7 linked regions of the Cricetulus griseus genome follow. The protein of the gene in region 6 binds, or shares a complex with, the protein of the main gene of each other region. Links are inferred from orthologs where the notes say so. Each region holds a gene or a part of one and is shown on either strand. Other genes may lie near its edges.

What was found.
Region 1: Taf6 (region 6) and Taf3 share a complex: the UniProt entries of both Homo sapiens proteins name them as parts of the TFIID basal transcription factor complex. The link is inferred for Cricetulus griseus from reciprocal best matches to the Homo sapiens genes TAF6 and TAF3.
Region 2: Taf6 (region 6) and Taf13 share a complex: the UniProt entries of both Homo sapiens proteins name them as parts of the TFIID basal transcription factor complex. The link is inferred for Cricetulus griseus from reciprocal best matches to the Homo sapiens genes TAF6 and TAF13.
Region 3: Taf6 (region 6) and Taf8 share a complex: the UniProt entries of both Homo sapiens proteins name them as parts of the TFIID basal transcription factor complex. The link is inferred for Cricetulus griseus from reciprocal best matches to the Homo sapiens genes TAF6 and TAF8.
Region 4: Taf6 (region 6) and Tbp share a complex: the UniProt entries of both Homo sapiens proteins name them as parts of the TFIID basal transcription factor complex. The link is inferred for Cricetulus griseus from reciprocal best matches to the Homo sapiens genes TAF6 and TBP.
Region 5: Taf6 (region 6) and Taf12 share a complex: the UniProt entries of both Homo sapiens proteins name them as parts of the TFIID basal transcription factor complex. The link is inferred for Cricetulus griseus from reciprocal best matches to the Homo sapiens genes TAF6 and TAF12.
Region 7: Taf6 (region 6) and Taf11 share a complex: the UniProt entries of both Homo sapiens proteins name them as parts of the TFIID basal transcription factor complex. The link is inferred for Cricetulus griseus from reciprocal best matches to the Homo sapiens genes TAF6 and TAF11.

Annotation. Positions count from the first base shown.
Region 1 is NC_048596.1:226,857,191-226,860,690, forward strand, and holds part of Taf3 (transcription initiation factor TFIID subunit 3), read right to left. Parts: intron 2,042-3,500; coding exon 213-2,041; coding exon of another isoform or gene 157-212; intron 1-156. UniProt on the Homo sapiens protein: The TFIID basal transcription factor complex plays a major role in the initiation of RNA polymerase II (Pol II)-dependent transcription.
Region 2 is NW_023276806.1:48,546,490-48,550,544, forward strand, and holds the start of Taf13 (transcription initiation factor TFIID subunit 13), read right to left. Parts: upstream 2,801-4,055; 5' UTR 2,684-2,800; coding exon 2,657-2,683; intron 1,580-2,656; coding exon 1,501-1,579; intron 1-1,500. UniProt on the Homo sapiens protein: The TFIID basal transcription factor complex plays a major role in the initiation of RNA polymerase II (Pol II)-dependent transcription.
Region 3 is NW_023276806.1:256,850,711-256,854,210, forward strand, and holds part of Taf8 (transcription initiation factor TFIID subunit 8), read right to left. Parts: intron 3,037-3,500; coding exon 2,974-3,036; intron 1,465-2,973; coding exon 1,340-1,464; intron 1-1,339. UniProt on the Homo sapiens protein: The TFIID basal transcription factor complex plays a major role in the initiation of RNA polymerase II (Pol II)-dependent transcription.
Region 4 is NC_048595.1:294,441,117-294,445,329, reverse strand, and holds the start of Tbp (TATA-box-binding protein), read right to left. Parts: upstream 2,801-4,213; 5' UTR 2,661-2,800; intron 1,456-2,660; 5' UTR 1,407-1,455; intron 1-1,406. UniProt on the Homo sapiens protein: The TFIID basal transcription factor complex plays a major role in the initiation of RNA polymerase II (Pol II)-dependent transcription.
Region 5 is NC_048595.1:20,962,370-20,965,046, forward strand, and holds the end of Taf12 (transcription initiation factor TFIID subunit 12), read right to left. Parts: intron 1,538-2,677; coding exon 1,449-1,537; intron 974-1,448; coding exon 938-973; 3' UTR 501-937; downstream 1-500. UniProt on the Homo sapiens protein: The TFIID basal transcription factor complex plays a major role in the initiation of RNA polymerase II (Pol II)-dependent transcription.
Region 6 is NC_048597.1:116,864,033-116,868,091, reverse strand, and holds the start of Taf6 (transcription initiation factor TFIID subunit 6), read right to left. Parts: upstream 2,801-4,059; 5' UTR 2,660-2,800; coding exon 2,658-2,659; exon of another isoform or gene 2,344-2,657; intron 1-2,343. Other genes in the region: Cnpy4 (protein canopy homolog 4), read left to right, coding at 3,187-3,322. UniProt on the Homo sapiens protein: The TFIID basal transcription factor complex plays a major role in the initiation of RNA polymerase II (Pol II)-dependent transcription.
Region 7 is NW_023276806.1:233,027,501-233,031,576, forward strand, and holds the start of Taf11 (transcription initiation factor TFIID subunit 11), read right to left. Parts: upstream 2,801-4,076; 5' UTR 2,084-2,800; coding exon 1,919-2,083; intron 1-1,918. UniProt on the Homo sapiens protein: The TFIID basal transcription factor complex plays a major role in the initiation of RNA polymerase II (Pol II)-dependent transcription.

The sequences.
Region 1 (3,500 bases), on a different chromosome or scaffold from region 6:
ATCAGATTCCTCCTAAGCTATGTATTTTTAATATCCAATGTGTGTGGGGTTAGTTACAGAACTAATGATCTTTGTAACCACATTACACATGAAATGCCACTTAACTGCCCCTGGATTTACATCCAAACCACAGATATAACTCCTGGCTTTGTTTACCTGCATTTTGCACTAGGACCTTGTTCAGACAGTGCCGAAAATGATACCCAGCTTACTTTTTCATGCTTGTGTTTCTCCTTCTCTTTTTCTCTCTTCTCTCTCTCCCTTTTCTCTTTCTCCCTCTCCCTCTCTTTCTTCTCCTTTTCCTTCTCCTTCTCTTTCTTCTTCTTCTTTTCCTTTTTGTCCTTTTTCCTTTCTTTTTCCTTTGGCTTCTCTTTTTCCTCAAACAGTTTTTCCGGGAGCATTGGTGACAAGGCAGGCAGCATGGATGGGACCCTCACTGCTGCAGAAGGGCTGAACAAAGGTAGTGCCATTTCTTTCGGAGGTAATACCAGCTGTGTTGGAGGGGCCTTTATCTTGTCTTCTCTGCTTTTTTCTTTAATCTTTTCCCTTTCTCTCTTATCTTTATCTCGCTTGCTTCGTTCTCGATCTTTCTTCTTGTCCTTATGCTTCTCTTTCTCCTTTCTCACTATCCCATCTTTCAATCGCACTTTTGGATCAATGTCTTCAAATTCTCTGATCTTAAACTTATAGGGATCGGGATCTTCATCTTTCATAAATTCCTTCCATGGGTACCTGACCTCCTTGGCAGATTCCTTTTCCTTCTCCCTCTCTCTCATTTTATCCTTCTCTTTGCTTCTTTCTTTGTTTCTCTCTTTTTCCCTCTCCCTATCTCTCTGCTTTTCTTTCTTTTTCAACTTAGTCTTCAGTTCTTTTTTCAACTTCTTCTTTACATCCACAGATGAAGGCAGCTTAGCTTTCTCCTCATACCCCTTGTGCAGAGGTTCGGGAGTGGGAGGAGAAATGGAGGGAGAAGAGATATACTGGAAGGTGGGAGGCATGTTGGAAGGGGTTCCCAGTTTTGCCTTCCGTACCACCTCATCAATCGAGGCATCCATTGTCCACGAGTTATCGGAACTTGAAGTTCCGCCAGAAAGAGGCAGAGGAGTAGACCCAGACTTGGTGAAGTTATTGGAGGAAGTGGAAGCTTTTGGAGTGGTGCACTCTGAACCGGAAATCCTCTTAGGGCTTGTAAAAGTGTCTACTTCGGATTCCGATCCGGAAGAAAACTCGAAAGGATCTGGCTCCCGCTCTGCACAGGCACGTGCGATTACGGCATCGATGGAGTCATCGATGGTTTTGTCTGTCACCACAGCCTTTTTCGGCTGCATTTCCATGTTCAGTTTCCCGATTTCTGGGGGAGTCTGTGTTGGCTTTACTGGGATGCTTTCTTTAACAGTTTTTTCAACCACTATAGCTGAAGGGGTTCTATTTGGTGTTTCAGGTCTGGCAGGGGGTTGGGGAGTGTGAGTTATAATCTTGGGGCTCTTGGGACTCTTGGGGCTCTTAGAACGTCCTGGTGATTTCTTTTCTTTGGGGATGGTTTTTGGTGACCGAATGGGACTTCCAAGCCTTGCTGGTGATAGGGTAGTTTTGGGTGATTTAGTCTTCTGTCCTGGAGAGCTAGCTTTAGTCTTTGTTTTCGGTGTAAATGACTTTGTTTCTAATGGCTTTGCAGTTGGTAGTTGTGATTTTGCAAATGGAGCCAGCATCGGGGGCTCTGGTGATGGAGGGGCCAGATCTGTATTGTCCTGGACATGCACAGGAGAAAGCATCGGTGGGATCTTCTGTGGATTTATGGAACTGAGAGGTTCTCGTGCTTCTAACAGTACAACATCCAGGGAATCCCCTTTGGTGCTCAGGAGTCGAGGGCGCTTCATGGTGGGCATTTCTTCCACCTCAGGACTGTCCAGTGGCCTTTTACCCAAGAAATTCTCATCATTGATGACTTCCTCCTCCTCCATCTCATCATCTTCTTCCAAGGGCACTTGCATGGCTTCTGCTGAGGTGCCTCCATCAGTGGGCACCTGCTCCTCTTCTTCCTCTGGTAAAAGAAGAAAGGATATGATTAGAATGGAACAGGGATTAATGAACAGAATCTAGGATTCAACCCCCACTTCTTGGAAGGAAGAAAAGGAGTGAGTCCTCCCAGGTTTTCCCATCCTGGGTTCATCATTCTTTTAAAAGTAGTTACAGGAGACTAGCTTCCTAAATTTATTTCCTGAGAGAATAGTGACTTTCTATTTCTACACTCTTCTCATGCTTTTCCCAACAACCCCATGCTCCTCAAAAATAGAGATCAGTTTTCATGATCTCTATTTGTCAGTGGCTTTCTACCTTACTTTCTGAGATAGTGTCTCACTGAATCTGGATCTTACCCATTCGGGGAGACATGGGTTTAGGTGGACTGCATTCGGGTCCTCATACTTTTATGGCAAGCATTTTACTGGTTAAGACATCTTTCCAGCCCTTTGAAGAAAATCTTGTGCAACAAATTTTAGTTCTCTGCACACAACTTTCATCATAGGTACTCCTTGGAGGGGCGCCATGATGCAATGCAATTCATTTGGCTCAGACAACTGAAACTGTACTTTAGCTAGAGTTCTGGCCCTACGGAGTAATGGACCTTAGGATCTCAACCTCCTTGAGTCTGTTTCTTGGCCTTTCAAAAGGAGCTGATGAACATGCCCTGCCTACATGACTGAGTTCTTATAAGATCAGATCACATCTTTTTGCACATATTAACTAAATATATAATATATGATGATAAAGGCTGAAAGAACTATAGGGTCAATTCATAGCCTACAATAGTACATGTGTAAAGCATATGGGAAATCAATTAGTACACAGACAAAGTGCTACAGGATTTCAAAACAGAAGGGGGTGACTCACTGTCAATGGGGAAGACTTCAAGAATAATGTAGTGATTTGAATATTGCCAGGAGTACCAAGGTCCAGGATCAACAGTTAATTGGCAAAGAGGAGGACTTGAGACACAGGAAGTATATAAGAACATGAAATAATGTGTCTGGGAAGTAAGGAGTAAAGTGGAAAACAAAAGAAGTTGAGTAAAGTTGTATTCACATCACAGAAGTCAGAAGACTTCAGCACTATGGACTGGAGTCTGTGTAAGATTATCCCACATGATGGATAGAAAGAATGGGGAGTGACAGACATCAAAAACAGAGGACAAATTAGGTGTGACTAACATGTAGGTAAGACGGAGGAAAAGACTAGACTAGGAAGTAGTAGCAAATAGTAGAAGCAGGAGAGATAAATGACATTCTTAAGATAGTGAACAGACTGTTGCATGCTCAGGTATGAGTTGAAGGGTTCAAACACAAATCCAAGGCATGAAGGTTCATTCTGATCTGTGTCATCATTAACAGAAAAAAGAATAAAGAGCAAGGTGATTATTGGCTCTTTCCTGGACACAGAGCTTGAGGAACCTTTAGCCAGTGGTGTTGACTGAGCAACTAAAAGTACACTGAAGTTCTAAAAAC
Region 2 (4,055 bases), on a different chromosome or scaffold from region 6:
TTAAAATAAAACAAATAAAGGACAGAGTCTCATTATGTAGCTTTGGCTGACCTGGAACTCACTAAGTAGACCAGAATAGCCTTCCTTAGTGCTGGGATTCTTTTGCAGTGTATTTATTTATTTTTATTACTATTATCAATATCTAATTAATTATTTGGAAGAGGTTGAGATAGTGTTTCTCTGTGTTGCCCAGGATGGCCTCAAATTCATAAATCCTCTGCTTCAGCCTCCTCAGCATTGGAATTATAGATATGTATCATATATTCAGCCTTAAAATAATTCCTATTTAGAAGCAAAAACTGACAGAGCCAACAAAGAGAAGAAATGAAAGGGGTGACCTGGAAGCCAGCCTGGAGTACAGTTATCCCTTGTGTTCAAAATGCCAAGAGACTTTAGGTCCCAACACAGAAGGAAGAAAACAAATATAGTAGTCAATATTCTCTATTTCTTTTTGAATTCTATTTTTTAAAGATTTTTATTTATTATGTATACAACATTCTGCTTCCATGTATATATATCTGCACACCAGAAGAGGGCACCAGATCTCATAACAGATGGTTGTGAGCCACCATGTGGTTGCTGGGAATTGAACTCAGGACTTCTGGATGAGCAGTCGGTGCTCTTAACCTTTGAGCCATCTCTCCAGCCCCTTTGAATTCTATTTTTAAAACTTGCCTTTTTAAAAGACAGTTTTAGGCTTATAGATGAGTCATAAAAATAGGAGTTTCCATATGCCCAGTATCTCGTTACCACTTACAACATTTATGTAACAAATATCAAAACTAAGAAATCAACATTAGTACAAGTACCTTATTCAGAGTGTACTTATTTTTCTACTTAGGTGCATTTTCTTTTAAGATTTCTGGTTTCTACTCACCCCCCACCAGAGTTCACAGGTGCTAGGCACATGCCCTTACCACTGAGCTATACTCCCTAGGCCTCAATTTTAGACACTTTTCACACCTCTGTAGTTTTCTCTATCCAACTGGTGACAGCTCCTTAGCTCTTCCCTGTCTTTCAAGACCTCAACACTTAAAGAGAATCCTAGTCAGATCTTGCAGCTGAGAGCAAGTTCCAGGACAGCCAGGGCCACACAGAGAAACCTTGTCTCAAAAAAAAAAAAAAAAAAAAAAAAAGCAATCATGATCACATCCATCATTTTATGTGCCACATACAGAATTAATATATGTGATTCAGAAAAGTTATGCTGCACATAAGGGTACACACCTGTAATGCCAGTACTTCAGAGCCTAAGGCAGGAGGACTGCCACCAATCTAAAGCTAGCTCGGGATACACAGTGAGCACCGAAGTAGCCAGTGCTATAGAGAGACTATCTTTTTAAAAAATGAGCAAAACAACAATAAAAACAGACAACTTCACAGGCAAGTCTGAGAACACTGTCCCTAGACGAAAACATATGCAGAATAATAAGTCTACTTTAAAAGGACATGTTCAAGCTTTCACCATCTATAACAAAAGCACTGCAAAATACAACTTACATTCTTTGGAGAAAAGTCTCTTTCTTTTCCCCTGTCCACCTTCTGCTCCTCCTCCAATTTCTTCATTTTCCTCCTCAAACTAGAAATTTGAAAATACATAAAGCCATGTCAAATGACTGTACTACATTTGATATTCCACTGAGTGTCCTTTCTGTTCTCTTATATTGAATCTAGGAACTAAGATTCTAAACAGATACTGAACTACATCCCCAGACCCTTTCATTTTCACCCTTTGTTTTGAAAGACACCATGTGTATTGTGTGTGCCTACATTGACCACGTGCCTGCTGGTGACCACAGGGGCCAAAATAGGGTGTTCAATCCACTGGAGTTATAGGTGACTGGGTTGCTCTTAACCGCTAAAGTAATCTCTCTAGACTTTAAAGGTCTCACTATGTACCCATCTGCCTGGAACTAAGAAATCCACTTGCCCCAGCCTCCTGAGTGCTGGCATTAAAGGTGTGCACCACCAAGCCCAGAGAGTGACCCTTTTTCATTTTCAATAGCGATAAGCTAAACTGAACAGCACAACATCATGAAAACTTAGCCTCAAATTCTTAGGTCATGCAGGAAGGCTTCTATCATTGCTCCTAACAACCCTACACCTTTGTGTGTAAAAGCTCTAATGACCTCGGGTTCTGGGTTTTGTTTTCAGCCAACTAAGTGGTCATACTGCTAAGCAATGGCATGGTAAAAGACCTGATAACTCTCAGTTGTCATCGGAATCATCATTTACTAAGAACTTATCAATACAGAGCTAAAAACTCCCTAAGTGAGCCTGATCCTATCTCATGACAAGAAAACCCATGTCTGAAGTTAAATAACTTCCTCAGAGAAAAAGCAAGAGTTTGGACTTGAAGACTCCTGACTTTAGTTCATCGTTTCCCCGCTATCTTCACAAGTTCTGTTAGCTGGGCTGCGGGATCCGTGGAATTTATTGGCTCTGATCTCCCATAACCCTCTAGGTGTCTCCAAAGTGTCTGGCAGATCCAGATCGAAAGGAGCCCCCTTCCTTCCCGTCCTGCCCCACGACTGAGGTAAATCCGAGGAGGAGGAAAACACTGCGGATTCCCTAGGGGACGCGAGGTTCAGACTCTGCCTCCGCTAGTGAGCCCGAGGGAGCGAGGAAACAGGCTGTGACAGAGGCGCTCACTCACAGTGGGGTCTTCCTCCTCATCTGCCATCCCAGCTGCCCGCCAGCCTTCTGAGAGCCGCCGCGGCCGCTAGCGGCTTTTATAACATCCGGCGCGTCACTTCCGGCCGGGCGGGCGCTGCGTCTGCAGGGACGCGCTCTCCGTCTCCTCCCCGGGGCTCCGAGACTGGCCGAAAGCGGTGACGCGCTCCTGGTAGTGGAATCCTGAAGAAGGAGTGAAACATTGAGAAGAGTCCCCGCGCCGCGGCCCGGCGGCGGTAGTGGGTCTCCCCTTTAATCCCAGCGCTGGGGAGGCGGAGGCAAGCCCATCTCTGAGTTCGAGGTCAGTCTGGGCCACAGGACAGACTCTAAAGCTACGGTCTCGAAAACAACAAAAAAGAAATAATAATAATAATAATAATAATAATAATAATAATAATAATAATAATAATAATAAATATAATAATGATGAAGCCGTGCATGGTATGCTATCCTGGACTTAGGAGGGTGAGGCAAGAGGGTCTCGAGTTCGAGAGCAGCCTAGGCTACATGAGCCCGCGTCTCAGAAAACGTGATAAATTTGTACATACACATGGATATTTATAGATAAACGACTGTAATTGCAGCTCCGGGGGAAAATGATGGGTTTTTATCGTCCAGAGCTGATGCACTCAAGTACACAAGTCACACGTGTTTTTAAAATATAATCTTTATGGTGGATTTTGTTGGTTTCGTTTGTTTTTTCTTTGAGACAGGGTTTCTCTGTGTAGCTTTGGAGCCTGTCCTGGAACTCGCTCTGTAGACCAGGCTGGCCTCGAACTCACAGAGATCTGCCTGCCTCTGCTTTCTGAGTGCTGGGATTAAGGTGTAGGCAGGCCACCACCGCCCACTTGAAAATATAATCTTTATGTATGTGGGTGTTTTGCCGGTATGTGTACCACATGTGTGCAGAGCCAAAGAGGCCGGAAGAGGGCATCTGATTCCCAGGGACTGGGGTGTAGATTATGAGCTGCTATGTAGGTGCTGGGAATCAAATACAGGTCTCTGGAATCTTAACCACAGCGCCATGTCTCCTGCCCCCATTAATACACACGACTTTAAAAAAATTAATAGTAACTTTTTTTTTTTTTAATTACAAAGGATGGGCCGGAGAGATGGTTTAGCTAGTGAAAGCTCTAGTAGGAAGCCTAAGAACCAGGTTCAATGCCTGGGATCTGTATAAAAGATGAAAGGCAACAAAAATGATTCCATAAGGCTGTCCTCTAGTTTCCATACACAATAATAGGTAAAATTTTTTAAATTACAAAAGAGTTGAGAGCACGCCTATGATCCCAGCCTCTGGAAGCAGAGGCAGGAAGATATCCATGAGTTCTATCTCTATAGTGAGACCATATCTTTAAAAAATAAAATAAAAAGTAGGGGGG
Region 3 (3,500 bases), on a different chromosome or scaffold from region 6:
AAAAGAAAGAGCTCATTTCAGTACAGGAATACTCATTAAGAAAAGTGCGGCCAGGCGTTGGTGACGCACGCCTTTAATCCCAGCACTCGGGAGGCAGAGGTAGGTGGATCTCTGTGAGTTCGAGACCAGCCTGGTCTACAAGAGCTAGTTCCAGGACAGCCTCCAAAGCCACAGAGAAACCCTGTCTCGGGAAAAAAAAAAAGTGCAAATATTTACTACATAGTTGACTATGGCAGCCAGCCTGTGAGTTTGAGGCCAGCCTGGTCTACAAAGCTACACAGAGAAATCCTGTCTCAAAAACAAAAGAATTACAGAATACCATCTTGTTAGCCCATGCCCTTAATCTCAACACCTGAGAGGCAGAGGTAGGAGATCTCAGTGAGGTCAAAGCCAGTCTGGTCTAAAAAGGGAAGGAGGGAGGAAGAGGGGGGAGGGGTAATGATACATACTTGTAATCCCAGCACTTCAGAGGTAGAGGCAGGAGGACCTGAAGCCTGAAGTCATCTTTTTAACTACATACTGAGCTGGAGGCCAACCTGAGCTGTCTACGACTCTGTCTCAAAAAACACCAGTAAAAGAAGCTTCTTACATTATTTTTATTGTCAGGATTTAACATACCATATAAGAGGTATGAATACTATGAATTGATCTGTATTCCCATAAAAAAATGTTTAGATATAGTAAGCTAACTACTGGCATCTCATATGACTTTATTTGTCAACAGAGTCACCAAGATGTCATTGATTAGGAAGAGTCATGAAGTAAGGACAATGGTGTCCTTATGGGAAGACAAAATATTTAATCTGTAGAGGTGGAAAGCCAGCACCACGTGGAGGGGACAGGAAGATTGGAGCGACACATCTATAAACCAAGAAATGCTGGAGAAATGTTGACACACTAAGGCAAGGTGAACACGATTCCCTTACAGGCTTTACAGGGAATATGGCCCTGATAACACCTTGATTTTCAACTTTTGGCCCCCAGGCCTATAAAGTAATACACTTCTATTGCTCTAAGTCAGCTACTTTGTAGCACCTTATCATAGCAACCCCAGGACACTTTGAGGGACTGAAGTCCAGGGCAACTGTATCAATTCCTTCCCTGAGTCCTGTCTCTCTTAGAGACAGCATCTCACTCTGTAGCCCAGGCTGGCCTCACACTCATGGCCACCCTTCTGCCTCAGCCTTCCAAGTGGTGGGATTACAGGACTGAGCCATCATTCCCTATAACAAGATTGCTGCTCTCTAGGGAAAGTCAGAGAACTGAAAGCACTTTCATCTGCAACCTTTCCTCAGCTGGTTTACATCACTCACAGCCCCTGGGTGGCTCCACCACTCACTGGAGTTTTGATGTAGGTGTGGGGATCCGGAAACTCAGGAAAATGGCTGGGGATGTGTGGTGGGTGGGGCCGGTTCTGCCCCGCAGTGAGGGCCTTGGGTGTCACTGGCTGATTAGTCACTGGAGCTGCAACAGAATCACAACTGGTTACTTGTTCAACCCCTGAAGTCTACAGACAATAGTCCTTCTTCAGCCCCACCCCTATCTTCCCACTACACCATGACTCAGCACCTTGTATTTCTATTGATAAAAAGCCATCCATAACCTCTTCAGATCAGCATACAATGCCCGGCCTTGTCAGGTCATCTTGCTTGATATTTCAATCTGTGACATCTGCCTGTAAGCCCCTTGCATCAACAGGAGAGTGGCTGTCACCAAAGTCACTACATAGTTGAACATGCTGAAGTACAATACTCGCATTCAACGGGCTGTTAGTCTTCTTCCCAGAGAGTGAGGACACTAGGAGCAGTGTTTGGTGTAGTCTATGCTTGGCATGCACAAGGCCCTGGGGTCCAATCCCCAGCACACACACGCTGCTCAGAGACCCCAAATAACAAACACTGAGCTGGGGGAAGTGTGGGCTTAACAATTGTGGAGGGGAAGGAAGATGGCACCTTCCACTGCTTCTCTCCAATGCAGGTGGCCAGATGGTTCAGTGGGAAAAGACTTGCCACCAAGCCAATCTGCAGGACCCACATGGTGGAGGGAGACAGCTTCCACCAACTTTTCCTCTAGATGGCCACATGCACACCATGGCATGTGCGTGCACACACATAATAAACAGATTTAATATCTAACATGATGCCAATGCAAAAAAGTGACTTTAAGAAACAAATACAGTGGGGCTGGAGAGATGGCTCAGTGGTTAAGAGCACTGACTGCTCTTCCAGAGGTCCTGAGTTCAATTCCCAGCAACCACATGGTGGCTCACAACCATCTGTTATGAGATCTGGTGCCTCTTCTGGTGTGCAGATATACATGGAAGCAGAATGTTGTATACATAATAAATAAATAAAATTTTAAAAAAGAAAGAAAGAAAGAAACACAGCAGTACCCCCAAGTCCTAAAGACTAAAGCAGTTACTCCTTACTTTAAGGGACCTAGTTATCCTAAAGAGTAAACTTTTTACATAAGGGGATACATGATACATATTTTAGACTTTTGTTTGCTTGTTTCTTAGTCATAGTCCTGCCTATGTATCCCACAAGTGCTAGGATTACAAGAGTAGCCAGTAAGCAGTGGCAGTTCAGATTATGCAAGCCACAAAACCCTGCCTTTATAACATGAAAGCAATCACAGACAAATAAATACAACTGCATGCCAATAAAATTATATTTACAAAAGCAAGCATTGGACTACATTTACCAACCCTGATCTAAAGGAGCAAGAACTTTCATAGTCTTCCTGTATCGTTGCTTGCTTTTCAGGGTTAAAGTACAAGGGCAGTGGTTCAGAGTAGCTTAGAATCCTCCTGTCCAGATAAAACCAGGCTGTGGGTAGCTAACCCACCCCAAAGACTGGAAGGGAGCTTGCAAAGAGCCAACAGCTGCCACTCTGATGCCTGCCCTATTCTCCAACCGAGTCCCACCATAATCACTGTATACTTACTAAGTCCCTGGGTTCAAAGCCACTTACGTGCAGTGATGACCATTCTCTGAGACCGTTTAGCATATGCAGGAAGAGTGTCCACATTGAACCCTAGGGACAAGAAAGCCAATCACTGCGTAGGTCATTGGATACTGAACATGAAAAGCGAAGTTAACAGTGTGAAAAGGGCTGGGCATTGGTGGCGCATGCCTTTAATCCCAGCACTCAGGAGGCAGAGGCAGGAGGATCTCTGTGAGTTCGAAGTCAGCCAGGTCTATAGAGCAAGTTCCAGAACAGGCACCAAAGCAATACAGAGAAACCATGTCTGGGGAGGGGGGGAGAAAAAAGGAAAAGAAAAAGTGAGAAAAGGGGGCTTAAACTCCCAACTGAGCCACTATTCTGCCTCTCAAAAGAAGATCCAGCAGAGCTCCCCAAAAAGGACTCAGGGGGTCTCCAAGATGGGCTCAAAGGATTCTTTCCTCTTAACTTTCTAAACTAAAAGCAAATCAAGGAAAACACGAAGGAATCCATGAGCACTCAGCAGACACCCCAACCCCCAGGCCTCCCTCCCTGCC
Region 4 (4,213 bases), on a different chromosome or scaffold from region 6:
GGGGGGGGGAGGGAGAAGGGGGGGAGCGGGAGTGGGTGAATCTATATACACATAGTTAAGTACAGGACAGATATTATTACATTTTTAAAAAAAGGTTTTCATTTTATGTGTATGAGTATTTTGTATGCATGTATATATGCACATCACATGTGTAGTGCCTGCAGAAGTTAGAAAGGGAGTATTGGATTCCCTACAACTGGAGTTTCAGATAGTTGTGAGCTACCTACCATCTAGGTGCTGGGAACCAAACCCAGGTCCTCTATAATAGCAGTAACTCCTCTTAACCACTGAGCTATCTCCCCAGCCCAACAATCAGATCTTATTCTAAACATTTATTATCATCTAAAATTTACAAGTCTTATACTCACGACCCCTGGTCATTTTAAGTATATGCTGACACAGGCCTTCTTCTGATGTTACTAAATCAATCAAAGAATTTCATAATCTCTTTGAGAGGACAGAGGACCCAAAAGATACTCCTACAAACTCATTACTGAGAAGCACTTTTTCCTTTTGTTTTTCAAGACAGGGTTTTTCTGTGTAGTCCTGGCTGTCCTGGAACTCATTTTGTAGACCAGGCTGGCCTTTGAAATCACTGAGATGCACCTTTCTCTGACTCCCAAGTGCTGGGACTAAATCTGGTGCCCTCTTCTGGCCTGCAGGGATACATGCAGACAGAACACTATACATAATAAATCTTAAAAAAAGAAGGCCGGGTGTTAGTGCTGCATGCCTTTAATCCTAGCACTCGGGAGGCAGAGGCAGATCTCTGTGAGTTTGAGAGTGAGTGCCAGGATAGGCTCCAAAGCTTACACAGAGAAACCCTGTCTCGAAAACCAAAAAAAAAAAAAAAGAGAGAGATGCCTGTTTCTGAGAGATACTAGACATACAAGAGATACTAAATTTACAAGAAAATTACACTTTTTCTGATATCATCAGAAAATGTTATTATTCTGTAACAGAAGTGCTCCAGATACAAAGATAAAGATGAAGAGGATACAGTCCTTGTCAATATTAAAAAAAAATACAAATAACTGTAAAAAAATTAGCAAGCACTAAAATCACAGTTATTTACTAAGTAAGGCAAGATGCAAGAAACTAAAACCAGCATTCATGTCTTCAAATCTTTTCAATTAGGACTAGGCCTGGCATGCAGTGCATAACCATGAATGAATGCTATGGAAGAAAGAATGCAAACTAAAGTCAAGAGGCTGGAGAGCAGTTAGGAGCAATGTTGTTTTTCAGAAGGCCTAGGTTTGATTCCTAGCACCCACATGGCTGCTCACAACTAGCTGTAAATCCAGTCCCAGGCAACCAGTGCTCTCTGTCTTCCATGGACCCCAGGTATGCATGTGGTATACAAGCAGACATACAGGCAAAACATTCACATACATAAAGTTACGTACCGTTTGAGAGGCCAGATCTTTCACAAGCCAGGAGCAATTTAACACGGATCTAGCATGAGGAACAAAAATGTACGAATCAGCACACACAAAAAGTTAAAGTAAGACAAAGGCTAATATAATAGAGCATCCAGTATGTAAGTGACAGGCTTAGTATGGAAAGTCTCTACAAGAGATGACAAGCAACTATAGGAGGGTTACATAATTCGGAGTGTAAGATGTTATTACACAGGCAATGGGATTTCTTTCTTTTTTTTAATCTTTTGAGCAACGGTTTCTCTGTGTAGCTCTGTAGATCAGGCTGGCCTCTAACTCAGAGATCCGCTTGCCTCTGCCTCCCGAGTGCTGGGATCAAAGGCGTGCGCCACCACCTCTCTGCTGGGATGGGATAAATCTGAGAAAATTCAATTTCAGAGGTCACCGCTATAGTTGAGCGAAAAAGATAACGATGATTGGATGTAATTATAACCAGAGATTTACCCAGATCATTTCGTGCAAATCAAGTTTACCGAACCGGCTGATTATATGTAAGGCGGAAATTGGCAGAAGGCTACGCTACGCAGAGGTCACATCTCACACCTGCAGGCGATGTAAACCATCTTTCCTCACTTGTATCACAAACTCGAAAATAATCACTACACTAACTTATTCTTAGCCGGTTTTTTCAGGGTCTTCATCTTTTAGGAAACGCAGCCATCAAACTGAGTATCTGAGAAACAATTCTGCCGTCTTCACGCGCCTGCCTAACCCAGTACTGCTGTCTCTTCTCAGAAAAGTCTAACCCAGGGTTTCGGGAAAAACCACCCGCTAACCGGAGCCCAGAGACGGGAGAGCGAGCAAACCAAGCGGGGATCTCTGTCGTGCTCGAATCTCAGGCTGCTGCTGACGAGATGAGTTTAAGAGTCTCCAAACCGCTCCCTAACACAACTACCCTTACGGGGGAGCGGCCCCAGGCCTGGGTAAAAACCCGTCTTCTAATGGGGGGGGGGAGGAGCAGCCGAGGCGCGCGGTGCCGCCCGGTGCCAGTCCCTCAGGGAGGCTCACACTCGGCGCTGGGTTTGGAGGACCCCGCCGAAGCGGTGGCCCGGCGACTGGTACTTGCCGGCCGAGCTGCCGCGGCGCGCGCGGGGGACCGTTCCCCGCCGGGCCGCGCGCCCCACGCCCGCGTCTCCGCCGGCAGTCTCCGGGATGCCCGCCGCACAGGTCGCCTTGGTCAAGGCCCTCGGAGCAGAGGGAAAAAAGCCGAACGACCGTTACCTGGGCGCTGCGGAGAAAAAAATGACGCGACCGCAGAGAGAGAGCCAGCCAGCCAGCCAGCCAAACCGCCAGCAGCTACCCGCCACCGCTCCCGGACTCGACCCCGCCGAGGCCCGACGCACATCTGATGCCGTCACTTCCGGCAGTTGCGCTTTTTGACTGAAGCCCGGCACGGGCGGCGGATCCCTGGCTAAGGAAATGAGGGGGCGGGGCTCCCCAGAAGTTCCGGGGCGAGGATGGGGCTGGGGCGGGGCCCCCTGGACAACTCTTCCCGACCGGTTCTCGTTAGAGGCTGCAAACTTGGAGGGTGCAGAGGTGACTGTTGGGGATGTACGATAGGGGTGAAACTCAAGCAAGCGATCTGTCAATGAGCTACATCCTTGGCCTCCCATGGGTGTTGTTGTTTTGAAAAAGGGTTTCTCTGTGTAGCCTTGGCTGTCCTGGGACTCGTTCTGTAGATCAGGCTGGCCTCGAACTCAGATCCTCCTGCCTCTGCCGCCGGAGCGAGGGGATTAAGGGCGTAGGCTACCACGCCCTGCCAGTCGAATAGGATTTTGCACTTACAGTGTTACCCTCGGCAAGCTCCCTACATCCTCCACTTAACGCCATAAAGCTGAATGGTAGTAGCAGCTGCCTCCTAGAAATTTGTGATTTCAATGACACGAATAGCATACCCTCAGTGAAAGTTAACTGGTATCTGAAGAACGACAACGACACAGGGGAGGTGGAGTCACAAATTCATTTACATTTTAGCTCAGCGACGAACAGCTGACTTCTGGGCTGTTCCAAGAAAACAGCAGTTGTCTCTTAGGTTGCTTCTTAACGTTTGATTGAATTCCAGCGTATCTTGATTTCTTCTTGATATGGTTCACCTAGGCAGAAAGGAAGTTCTGCTTATTCCCTTTCCCTTGGATTTAGCACTATCAACGAGGTGATAAGCTCCTTTAGGTTAGGGGTGTGTGTGAGAGATGGATATTACCTGTGTGTGTTATGTGCCTAGGGTGTTGACCTCTGCATGGATTCTAATAAGTACAATAGTATTGGTTACCTATTTTCTTCTAAATGAAACATTCTCTCTTGGAAGAATAGTGAACCTTAAGACATTAAGAAAACTTAACAAAGGCCTGACAAGAGGCAACTTAAGAGAAGGAGGTTCCTTTTGGCATACGGCTTGAGGGGTACAGTCCACCATGGGGAAGCCTGACGTCTGGAGAAGGGGGGAGTCACACTGCATCCGCAGACCGGAAGTCTAAGGAGATGAATGTTAGTTTGCTTTCTTTCTTTTTTTCCCCCTCCTTTTTGTTCAGAAAGCCAGGCAATGGGATGGTGCCACCTATATTTAGGGTGGGTTTTCCCTTCTCAGCTACACTGTCCTGAAATCACCTGCATAAGCATGCCCGCGAGGTTTTACTAGGTGATTCTAGATTCTGTCAAGTTAATACGATCCATCAGGCTCTGGCTGGCGAAACCTAGTATCGCTTCCTGGATCGCGTGGCTGCGTATACCACACAGCTGACCATGCATCTTGACCACTAGGACTTGAACATAGCAGG
Region 5 (2,677 bases), on a different chromosome or scaffold from region 6:
TCCCAGCAACAGGACTGTCCCCAAAGCTATTCCCATCCCTCCTCATGGCCAAGGATGAATCTGATCTTCCATGGAATTCCAGAAGAGGTCCAAAGGGGCTCTAGCAGGCCAAGTGTGATGATGCACACCTGTAATCTCAGCACACTGAGAGGTGGAGGCAGGAGGGTGATTCAAGGATAGCCTCAACAATACATCAGGTCTGAAGCCAGCCTGGGCTACATGAAAGCCTGCCTCAAATCACAAAAAGAAAAAAAAAGTCCCAGGGATACCAACATTATCTGAACTAGAATGCTTGTTTATTTCGGGGCTAGTTTACCCTGTCTGGTAGCAGAGAAACCGGACTCCAACTCCTACTGCTGGTTTGTCCCTTTGGAGTAAACCAGTGGAAAAACCCGTTTCTTAAATGCACAGATGGGCCCCTGTGCTGCCACCTGCTGACTGCAGCCCTCCAGCCTTGCTGATCCTGACTGGCATTTCAAAGGCCTCAGCTAGGCACCCTGTGTCTTCAATTTATAAGTTCTTTATTCTGGAAAAGCAAATCAAGTTCATATTCATATAAACACTGACATTACAAAGTACAGGACAAGGGAAAGGAGGAGACAAACCCTCTACAAACCTGCTAACACTGTCTCACCCAGCATGACCATACCGCTCTGCCTACAGTCAATCATTTATAAGATAAACCACAGGTAAAGTCTTCTCCGGAAGATACACTGCTTCTCTTTGAGACGGCAGGGAAAAGGGACCAGAAGTTGGGGTAGGAGGCTTTATTCTTTTGGCAGATCTTCTCAGTCATTATAGATATTGCTGCACTGTTAATAAAAAATATATGCTTCTCTGTAAAGCATTTAAAAAAAAAATCCAAGGATGAGATGGCTGAGGTCTCAGCTCAAGTATCTCCAAATACATGTCGTCCATTCCTTAACTGTCCCCTGTGTTATTTCTTGGTTGTTTTCCGGATCAATGCCATTCTCTGAAAGGGGAGAGAAATGAACAGTTAACAGGGCTCCAAGTCAGGAGCTCTCTGGAACATCAAACAGCATGGTCTCCATCACAGAAGCAGAATGCAGGGTCGAGAGACAGCCACAGTGGCCACCATCTCACAGACTGAGAGACCAGCTCTGTCCAGCCGTGCCTGCCGTATTCACATGCAGCTCCCTTTCCCCACCAGGGCAGCCATTTCACTAAGGTGTGGGAGCAGGTGGGCGTGCCCACCAAAGATCTGGAATCAAGAGCTTTAAGTGAAACCCATGGGGCAGAGAGGAAAACTGAAGCCCTGTGCATCTGCATCAGCACCATAGAAGCTATCACTGTGCTGCCTCTGACCTCTGACCTCTGGTGCAGAGAAGCTGGCTGCACAGGTGACTGACACTCCTGGAACACAGCTGCCTGTGCCCACTCCAAGGTGCAGTCCTAGGGACCAGCCCTGGCTGTCCTGGGTTTCTGACCTGTTTGTGAGCTTCTGTGGTGCAAGCTTTTTTGTAGGGTCGGATTTCCTCAGAGCCAAATCCTGGGATCCACATGTTCCACTGGCGCTCTGCAAGGAAGACACAAGCAGAGCTGAGGCTCCAGCTAGAAGGGCAGTGCAGCTGCAGGCAAGCAGCAGGGCAGGCCTGGCACCCACTGCACAGCACATGGCTTCTCCAAGGTTCTTTACTGAGCTTAATGCACACTAGGCAAGTGCTCTCCCGCCACGCTATAGCCCCCCCCTCAAGACCTTTAACCCTTTTAATGTTAATTTTAAAATTTTATTTATTTACTTATTTATTTATTTGGTTTTACAAGACAGGGTTCCTCTGTGGCTTTTGGAAGCTGTCCTGGAACTAGCTCTTGTAGACCAGGCTGGCCTCGAACTCACAGAGATCCACCTGCCTCTGCCTCCCAAGTGCTGGGATTAAAGGCGTGCGCCACCAATGCCCGGCAAAATTTTATTTATTAAGGTATATTTATTTTATGTACATGAGTGTTTTGCCTGCATGTATGTGTGTGTACCATGTGCAAGCTTGTGCCCAAGGAGGCCAAAAGAGGATGCTGGATCCCCAGTAACTGTCACCATATGGGCTCTGGGAATCCAATCTGAGACCTCAGGAACATCATCCAATGCTCTTAACCACTGAGCCATCTCTCTAGCACCCTATGTTTTTATTTTCTTTAAGGCAAATTTTGATATGCACCCTAGATAAGAAGTGAACTCATAGTGATCTGCCTGTGCTAGCCTCTTAAGTGCTGGAATTATGGGTCCAAGACTGCTGCTACTGGCTATCTTACTATTTTCAGTCAGGCATGGTTACACATAATTTTAGTCCCAGCTCTAGGGAGGCAGAGGCAAATGGATCTCTGTGAGCTCCAGGCCAGCCCGGGCTACAAGGTAAAAAAGAAAAAAGTACACACACTTACAAAGTCACATTCAGAAGGATTTACACAGATACTATTATTCCTTTCTGCATTTTACCCTATTTTCATATTTAATAACCTTAACATAATAAAGGTTACTTTAAATAAAAAAAATAGGTGTTAAGTACAGTTTGATAGGCATAAAAATCTGGCTCCTAACTTACTCCTAGTTGTGTACACATGGGCCACTTCATACTCCATTAATGTCCCCAAAGTACAGGCAACAGGATTTGTTCTATAAAATTCATTTTACTCTGGACAAACCAACTACTTAAAACAAACT
Region 6 (4,059 bases):
CCCTCCCTACTTGCTTCTCCTTCAGTTCATCTTTAAAGCAATGCTATCACCTAACAACTTGGTTTGTCCTTTATTCTTTCCTTATTGTTAATTTTGTTTTGGACACAGGAGCTCACTATCTAGCTCAGGCACTTCTAATTCCAGCTTCCTGCTTCTCTCTTCTTTTTTTAAAATTTTATATTATTTTTGGTTTTTTGAGACAAGGTTTCTCTGAGTTAACAGTCCTGGCTGTCCTGGACTTACAGACCAGGTTGGCTTTGAAGTCACAGATCTGCCTGCCTCTGCCTCCCCAGTGCTGGGATTGAAGGCATGCACCACATCTGGCTTCCACTTCTGCATTTCAAGCACTGGGATTATACACACATATATATATATTATGCATTTTGGTGACTAGTGACAACTTGTCTTGTCTTACTTTTGGGAACAAGATTTCTGTAGCCTAGTCTCAAACATGGTAACAAGATAGCCTTGACTCTGGATCCTTCTGCCTTTACCCTCCTAAGGCTGGGATTATAGACATGCACCTCCATACCTAGTTTTGTGGTGCTGAAGGTGGAACTCAGGGCTTTGTGTCTGCTAGGCAAATACTCTTAACTGAGCTACATCTCCACACCAGTTTTGTTCTTGTTGTTTTTCTTTTTGTTGTTGTTTTTTTTTTTTTTTTTCTGTGTAGCTCTGGCTGACCTGAACTTGCTCTGTAAACCAGGCTGGCCTCAAATCCAGAGATCCACCTGCCTCTGCCTCCTGGGTGCTGGGATTAAAGGTGTGTAGGGCCTCTTGTAGTCCAGGCTAACTTGTACTCTATAAATAGCTGAGATTGGAATTTAACTCCTGATACTGATATCTATACCTCCCAGGTGCTGGGACTATAGGCATGTGTCACCACATCCAGCACAACTCATTCCACTCTGGACCCTTGAATCAAATCCACCAGGCAAGGGCTGGAGGATGTGGCTCAATGGTAGAGTACTTGGCATGAACAAGACCTACGTTTGATTCAAAATGAACCAGGCAGCCCAACCTGACCCTTTTTGGCCTACATGACCATCACCTGTCACCTGCTGAACTCTAAAAGCCCCTGGACAAGGTGTTCCTGTTTCCATCTGAGCTTCCCTGTATTTACTCCTGAAAACCAAAGTACTGCTGTCCAAATGTACAATAGACTACCATTTCTTTGCTGTAATGGTTCCCCTTTTGCCATATAACCCTTCCAAAGCCCTCCCTTCAAAATGTCTCCTGTCCAGGTGTTGGGGTTAACACTTCTAATTTCAATGGACTGCCTTGAGTAGGACACCAGAATATGCTTCAGAGTGAGACCCTACATAGTGCACACTTGGAATGCCAGTACTCTGGAGGCTGAAGGAGGGAGACAGCAAATTTGGGGCCAGCCTGGACTATGCAGTAAGTTCCTGTCTAAAGTGGCTTTTTTCCTTTTCAATTTTCTCTCATCATATCTCTGATCACCCATCATTCCTTCTCTCACTTTACTCTGTCACATCATTCTCCTTTAAATCTGACAGACATACACTTGGTTTCAGAGCTTTTGCTGTTGTCTTCCCAAATGAGTTTAGCTACATGACCCCACCTCACCCCTTTCTTTAGGGACAAGGTCTCATGTAGCCCAGACTGGCCTCAAATTCACTATGTAGACAACACTGACCTTATCTCCTAGTCCTTTGGCCTCCACCTCCCAAGTGCTGGGATTACAGGCAAGTGCCACCATGCCCAGCTTTACTTCTTTGCCATATTTTCTTCATATATATATATGTACGTATATACACACATCATCTCTCTCTAGATTAAATCCAGGGCCTTCTACATGGTAAACAACCCCTCTACAACTGGGTCTCAGCAAGTTACTGAGGCTTGTCTGGAACTCACTCTGTAGCCTAGAAATTGAGATCCTTCTGCCTTTGCAGCTGTGCAGCACTAAGTCTAGCTATCACTTCTTGTTTATCATCCTGACCTCACCAGTGGACAGGAATATGTCTGTTATGTTCACTGACCTAACTGGTACCTAGATTGGTACCCAGGACACTGTTAAAACAAAAGAATTTTAAGTCTTAAGGGTGTAAATGTTCTATAAATACTTGGTATAACAATTACCAAAATGAAAAAGACACAGACTCAAGCTTAGCGTTTACTCTGTGGTCAAAAGGAAAGGAGCTTGCCTGACACTGGACATAAGGAAGATCAACCTCAAGAGTGTTCGGAACTGAGTGCTAGAGAGACTGGGGGAAAGAGGCCAAAGGGCACTGGTTCTTTTCAAGCCATCCCAGGTCTTCTCAGACTTTTGTTAAATCTTGTCTACAAGGAATACAATTACTCAGACATACTCTGTACCTGGTGTCAGGTATACAAGAAGTAGTCGTGACCCAGTCCCCTGCGGTACCCTCTGTCACTAAGGGTTCATAAAACACTCTTAACAGCCTCAGGAGCGTCTCAGTGGAAGCGACAGGAAGACTTCTCAGAGGGCAGACAGCTTGAGCTAGATCTGTGCACCATTTTCCTCAGAGAGAACTGATTCGAAGATTTCCCCGGGCAGCGCTACAGGAGGTTCACAATCCACTCCATCTCCCCAACCTCCTTCCAGTGCAAACACGCAGAGTCCCCACGAGCGCGGACACACAACCAACCGTCCTCTTCCCAGTTCTCACATGGGCCCTTTCAAAAGGGTCTCCTCCCGGATACACCTCAGACCTTCCCCCGCCAGCCAAGCACTGGGAGCAGTAAAAGCCTCTCACCGCTGCCAAAGCGCCGCTCACCCGGCGCTCGGCGCCATCTTGGCCCCGCCCCCTGGCAGGAGTAGGTCCTGGCAGAAGCCAAGTGCTTATCACTGCTCTTCCCTACATCAAAATAGATCATCTAGTATTACAGTCTTAAATTATATAAAAATTACATTCTACGTATATGTGTAAGGGTCATATTATTATATTCTAATAACTTCAATCTGTGTCTTCACTACTCAGCTGCCAGGACCTACAGGAGGCGCCACAAAATTAAGGCGGGGAAGCCCAGAGCCATGACGCTCCACCCGCTTTCGGGCTAGCTCTGAGCATGCGCTGCCCGTTCCACGATGGCTTTTTTTTTTTTTTTTTTTTTTTTTTTAAGCTTGTGGCCAGCTGCGTCTAAATTTAAAGGGCCCGCTGCCTTCCAGAAGTTAGTCCGAAGGGAAACGGTGGTTGTATGCGTGGACTGCGTTTTGTCATGGGACCTGAGAGGCTGGAAATACTGCTTTTCATCCTGGCAGCGTACAGTGCTTGGGCTGGGACGACGAAAAAGGAGGAAGATGACACAGAACGTTTGCCCAGCAAATGCGAAGGTATAGAAAAGTAGCTGTTCTTATTTGCATCTGTCTATTCCACCTCCTGCCTCTCTAACTCTAGGCTGGATCAAAGAGTCACTCGACCGTCTCGAAAGAGGTTCTTTTGGAGTTTGGTAACTTTTGAATGGGACTACGGGAGGGAATCAGGGTTAGGTTGACACTACATTTCCCAGGAGGCATCCAGAAGGAGCCAGGTTTTTCTTGCAGGCTCTAGCCCCAGTGGATTGTGGGAATTGTAGTTCAACAACCAGTAAAGTTGCTCCAACCGAGCATCTTCCTTAGTTCGTTTCCCGCCTTGTTAACCAGACCTAAATCTGGACCGTCTGCATGGGTGGGGTGAAAGGTTCAGACCTTCTAGACATCCTGTGCCTCGCCCTGGCAAAGACGCTCTCAAATTACAGGCCTGATGACCCCCTTCAGGGGTTTAAAGATGAGTAAGTCAGTACCTGAAGCTCATAAACAAGTTAGAGGAGACATCACACCACTTAGAAGTTGCCCATGGGTGTGAGGCTTTGTAGTTGGGGTGTACTGTAGGGATTTTACAGCAAGCAGCATGGTCTCTGACTGTATTAGTAGTCAGGAGCCAGGTCACTGAATACTACAGAGTTCCCTGGTTTGTTGTCTCTCTCCCTGACATTAACTTTTTCTTTAGATTCTTCTCTTCACCTTACACCCAACTGCATTTTATTATCATTGTTCCTCATTACTTGATTCTAATTTTGTAGCACAAATAA
Region 7 (4,076 bases), on a different chromosome or scaffold from region 6:
GGGAAAACACCAAGGAGCCAAATCGCCACTCCCCCACCCTCACCCTACAGGTGTCAGCAAAGTTATCCATCCAGCAGCATCTGCGTCTTGGGAGCACCACCCTGTGCTGTGTTCTGACCCTTCCTCTACTGGATCATAAGATACTACCTCTCCCATTACTAGACTAGAAACCTTTTTTTAAAATTTGGCTGTCCTCCAGGCTGACCTCCTAGAAATCCACCTACCTCTGCCTCCCAACTGTTGGGATTAAAGGCCTCTGCTGCCACTCCCAGTTTGGAAACTTTTTTTCTTTTGTAATTTAAGACATCTCATTTTGTAGCTTAGACTGGTGGTCCAACACTCCCCAGTCTCCAGATTGTGGAAATTGTCCTGCCTCAACCTCTTTGCTGGGATTGCCACCATACTGAGTTTAAATTGAAACTGAGCGATGGCTCGGAGGTTAAGAAAGAGCATTGGCTGCTCTTGCAGGAGCCAGGTTTGATGACCAGCACTCACATGACACCTCACAGTCATCTGTAACTCGTTTCAGGGGATCTGATGCCTCCTGACTTCCACAGGGACCAGGCACATACATGGCAAACATCCATACACAAAGGCAAAACATCCATACAATAACAATTTTTAAAAGCCCAAATTTAAAATTATTAGGTGCATTCATGCATACTGTGTGTAGACTTGCAAGTGTGGAGTTGGTTCTCTTGTATCTTTATGTAGGTTTCGGGGATTGAATTCCAGTTCCCAGGGTTTCGTGGCAAGCACCTTTACCTGCTGAGCCGTTTTGCCTGCCCTACTATAAAATCTGTTTGAAGATGTTTATTATTTACATTTCTCTCCAAATAAGCACTCAAAAGTTACTCCTAACAGGTGTATGTCATGACAAGCTTATTATGGAATCATAATACATCAAAACTCACTTGTGAGATTTAATGGTTCCTTTAGAAAGAGATTCATATTTAAACTCATTCAGAAATTGGGAGAGGGAGAGTGAAGGCATTATGTATTTGCCAATCCTTTCAACTTCTTTTTAGCTACTGATCTATACACATTTTCTAACCTGTGTGCCTCAAATTTTCAAATTTATTTGCCCTTAACTTTCCTCCTTTCTCCTCTTCCCCCCTCTCGATGTCTGTCTGTCTGTCTCTCTCTCTCTCTCTCTCTCTCTCTCTCTCTCTCTCTCTCTCTCTCTCTCTCTCTCTCTCTCGAGCTGGGATAGAAGCAGGTCTCATTTTGTAGCTCATTAAGCCTTGTAATGTATTTTGTCTACTTCAGCTTAAATTTTTTTCTGAAAAGGTTTTTTTATTTTTTTATTTTTTGGCGGTGGCGGTGGGGGGTTCGAGACAGGGTTTCTCTGTGTAGCTTTGGAGCCTATCCTGGAACTCACTCTGGAGACCAGGCTGGCCTCGAACTCAGAGATCCGCCTGCCTCTGTCTCCCGAGTGCTGGGACTAAAGGCGTGCGCCACCAACGCCCGGTTCTGAAAACAGTTTTGCTGCTCATCTGTGACAGGAGGGTCACAAGCTCAGGGCCAGGCCGTGTTAGGGAGACGCCCCTCATAAAGACAAAAAGCAAAATCCTATAAAGTTTTGCTACATTTTCTTCTTCCTGAAAGTTATTACGTCAGGCATTTTGAGGCAGTTACGGTTAGAAAGCCCATTTCCACCTTAGCTACTGTTCACCCCGTGATCTTTCAAAGCCAGCCCCAGCTCTCAAACTCCGACATTTTTTGCCTGCAGAAAAGGACGCTGAGGGTCGAGGAGGCAACGACGCTTGGCCTTTGGAGAGGCACAGCCGGCGGTTTTAACGAGGCCCCGGGACCCCTGGGGCTTAGCGTGCAAGGCTGGGGCTCGGTGCACCGCCCGTGCCCGTCCTCGCCCCGGCCCCGGCCCCGGCCCGCAGGGCTGCAGCAGGCGCGCGCCCACCTCGCTCTCGGCCGCCGCTCTCCGGCTCGCCTCTGCATCTCCGTCGGTCTCCTCCGGGCCCCCCTCGGGGCCGGCGGCCGCCGGGACTCCAGGAGCAGCCCTCGTCTCCTCCGACTCCGCCGGCTCTCCGCCTCTGTCCGAGGGCGACTCCGCAGGGTTGTCCATCGCGGCGGGAGGGGAGCGAGACGACCGGCCCTACCGTGGAACCCGGGCTGACGGCTTGTCGTCGCGCCTCGATGACGTCACCCACGGCGCCTCGGAGGGGTCCGTTCCAGAAGCGCGCGGCTGGCCCTGGGGAGCCACTTAGGCAGCATTTGTTGTGACGAGAAAGAAACTTAAGAGCGCGCGTCCGCAGCTTCAGGGAAGGAGCGGCTGTGGACGAGCGTACGTTCGTTGGCTGAGAGACTTGTTTCTCTCGTCCTTTATGGAAACGCCCTGCCCGTCAGTCCCTCCTCGACCTGACTCGGGGTGACAAGGCAGTGAGCCCCGGGCTTGCCGGCGTCAAAGCCGCACTGCCGCCCTGGACTGCAGAGCCCGCGGGCCGCCTGGGGTCACACGTGGCCCCTCTTCTGAGCCCGGCGCGGAAGCGGCTGCGGATTCGTCCCCGCTCGCCCGCGTACGGGGCTTCGGCTGCATGCACGCCTGCGCACGGCGCCCTGGGAGGCCAGCGGAGGGGCTACAGCGGAGCCGCCGCCGCTCCGGCCCAACTGCGGTCCTCCCGCCCGGGGGCGCCGTTCCCGCGGCTGCCTCCGGGTCTCCGCGCCTGTTCCCAAGTTCACCTACGAGTCTTGGCGCGCGCGCTACCAAGTTTCCCCTGTGTCCCGCAGCGCGGGAGCCGCACGAGCGCGCATCTCCCACCTGCGCCACGGGCGCGCGCGCTGGGCGGGGACGGCGCCGGGCGCCGTCACCTGCGCGCCGGCGCGGGGCCCCGCCCACTAGGTGGGCAAGGAGGCGGGGCCGGTGACGCGTGACGCCGGATCCCGGAAGTGACGCGCCGCGGGGAGGGGGCGGCGGCGGCGGAGGAGGCGGGGGAGAGGGGGTGGCGTCCCCGGCCGGGTTGAGGGGTGCGTTGCCCGGAGACGGAAAGTTTGGGAGCCGCCGCGGGCTCTGCGTGGCCCCGGGCGGGGGTCGGAGGAGCGGCGGCCCTGGGGATGGGGAAGGAGCAGGAGCTGCTGGAGGCGGCCCGCACCGGGCACCTCCCGGCCGTGGAGAAGCTGCTGTCCGGGAAGCGGCTCTCCTCCGGCTTCGGCGGCGGCGGCGGCTCCGGCTCCGGCGGCGGCGCGCTCCGGGGGCGGCGGCGGCCTCGGCTCCTCCAGCCACCCGCTCTCCAGTCTGCTGAGGTGAGTGTGCGCGCGCGGCGCGGCGCGGAGCGGAGCCCCGACGGCGCGGGCTCCCGCGGGAGGTGGCGGCTCTCGGCTGAGGCGCGCGCGGGCGGCCGGGCTCTGGCTCGCGCGCGCGTCGCGGCTGCGGCTGCGGCTGCGGAGAATGGGGGAGTGCCCCGGTGGCAGCCCGCGCGCGCCGCACGGCACGGCACAGCCCGGCGGCGTCACCCTCGCCCGCCCGCCCGCCCGCCGTGGGTGCCAGCTGTCGCCTCTCACAAAAGCCACTTCAGAGCAGACCGAGTTCGCGGAATCCCTCTCATATCGTGCAGGAACTCCCACGCCGCGCAGAGCCTCGCGGCACCCCCCCCCCCAGCCGGTTCGCCTCATTTCCTTCTCTCAGGAACTTGGAACGCTCCACCGGGCTGTGCGGGACCCGGCTTTTGTTTGTTTTTAAAATTGCTCCTGCATGGATCGCGCACGAGGTGCTCAGGCTTTGAGCCTCTCTGGTGCCTGAAGCTCAAATTTGACGTCAGATTCCTTGTAGTCACTCTCGATGGGCTGGCTGGTCCAAGTGGCATATGCTCACCCCCGCCCCCCCCCCCCCCCGGGACTTAACTCGGTGAGAAATCAGGGTTTGGAAAGGCTTGTTAGGAAACTGAGGTGCGTTCAACTTTCTGAGATCTGTTAGACACTTGAATCCGGGGCTGCAAGGCTTGGGGAGGGGGGGGCACTCTTTGTCGCTCACAAGGGGGATTGGAATGCTTTGTCAGAGTGTATAAAATGTGTTGGTTCAGCAGCGCTTTCGTGGCTGTTTTCTTTTCCTTCCTTGTTCTTTT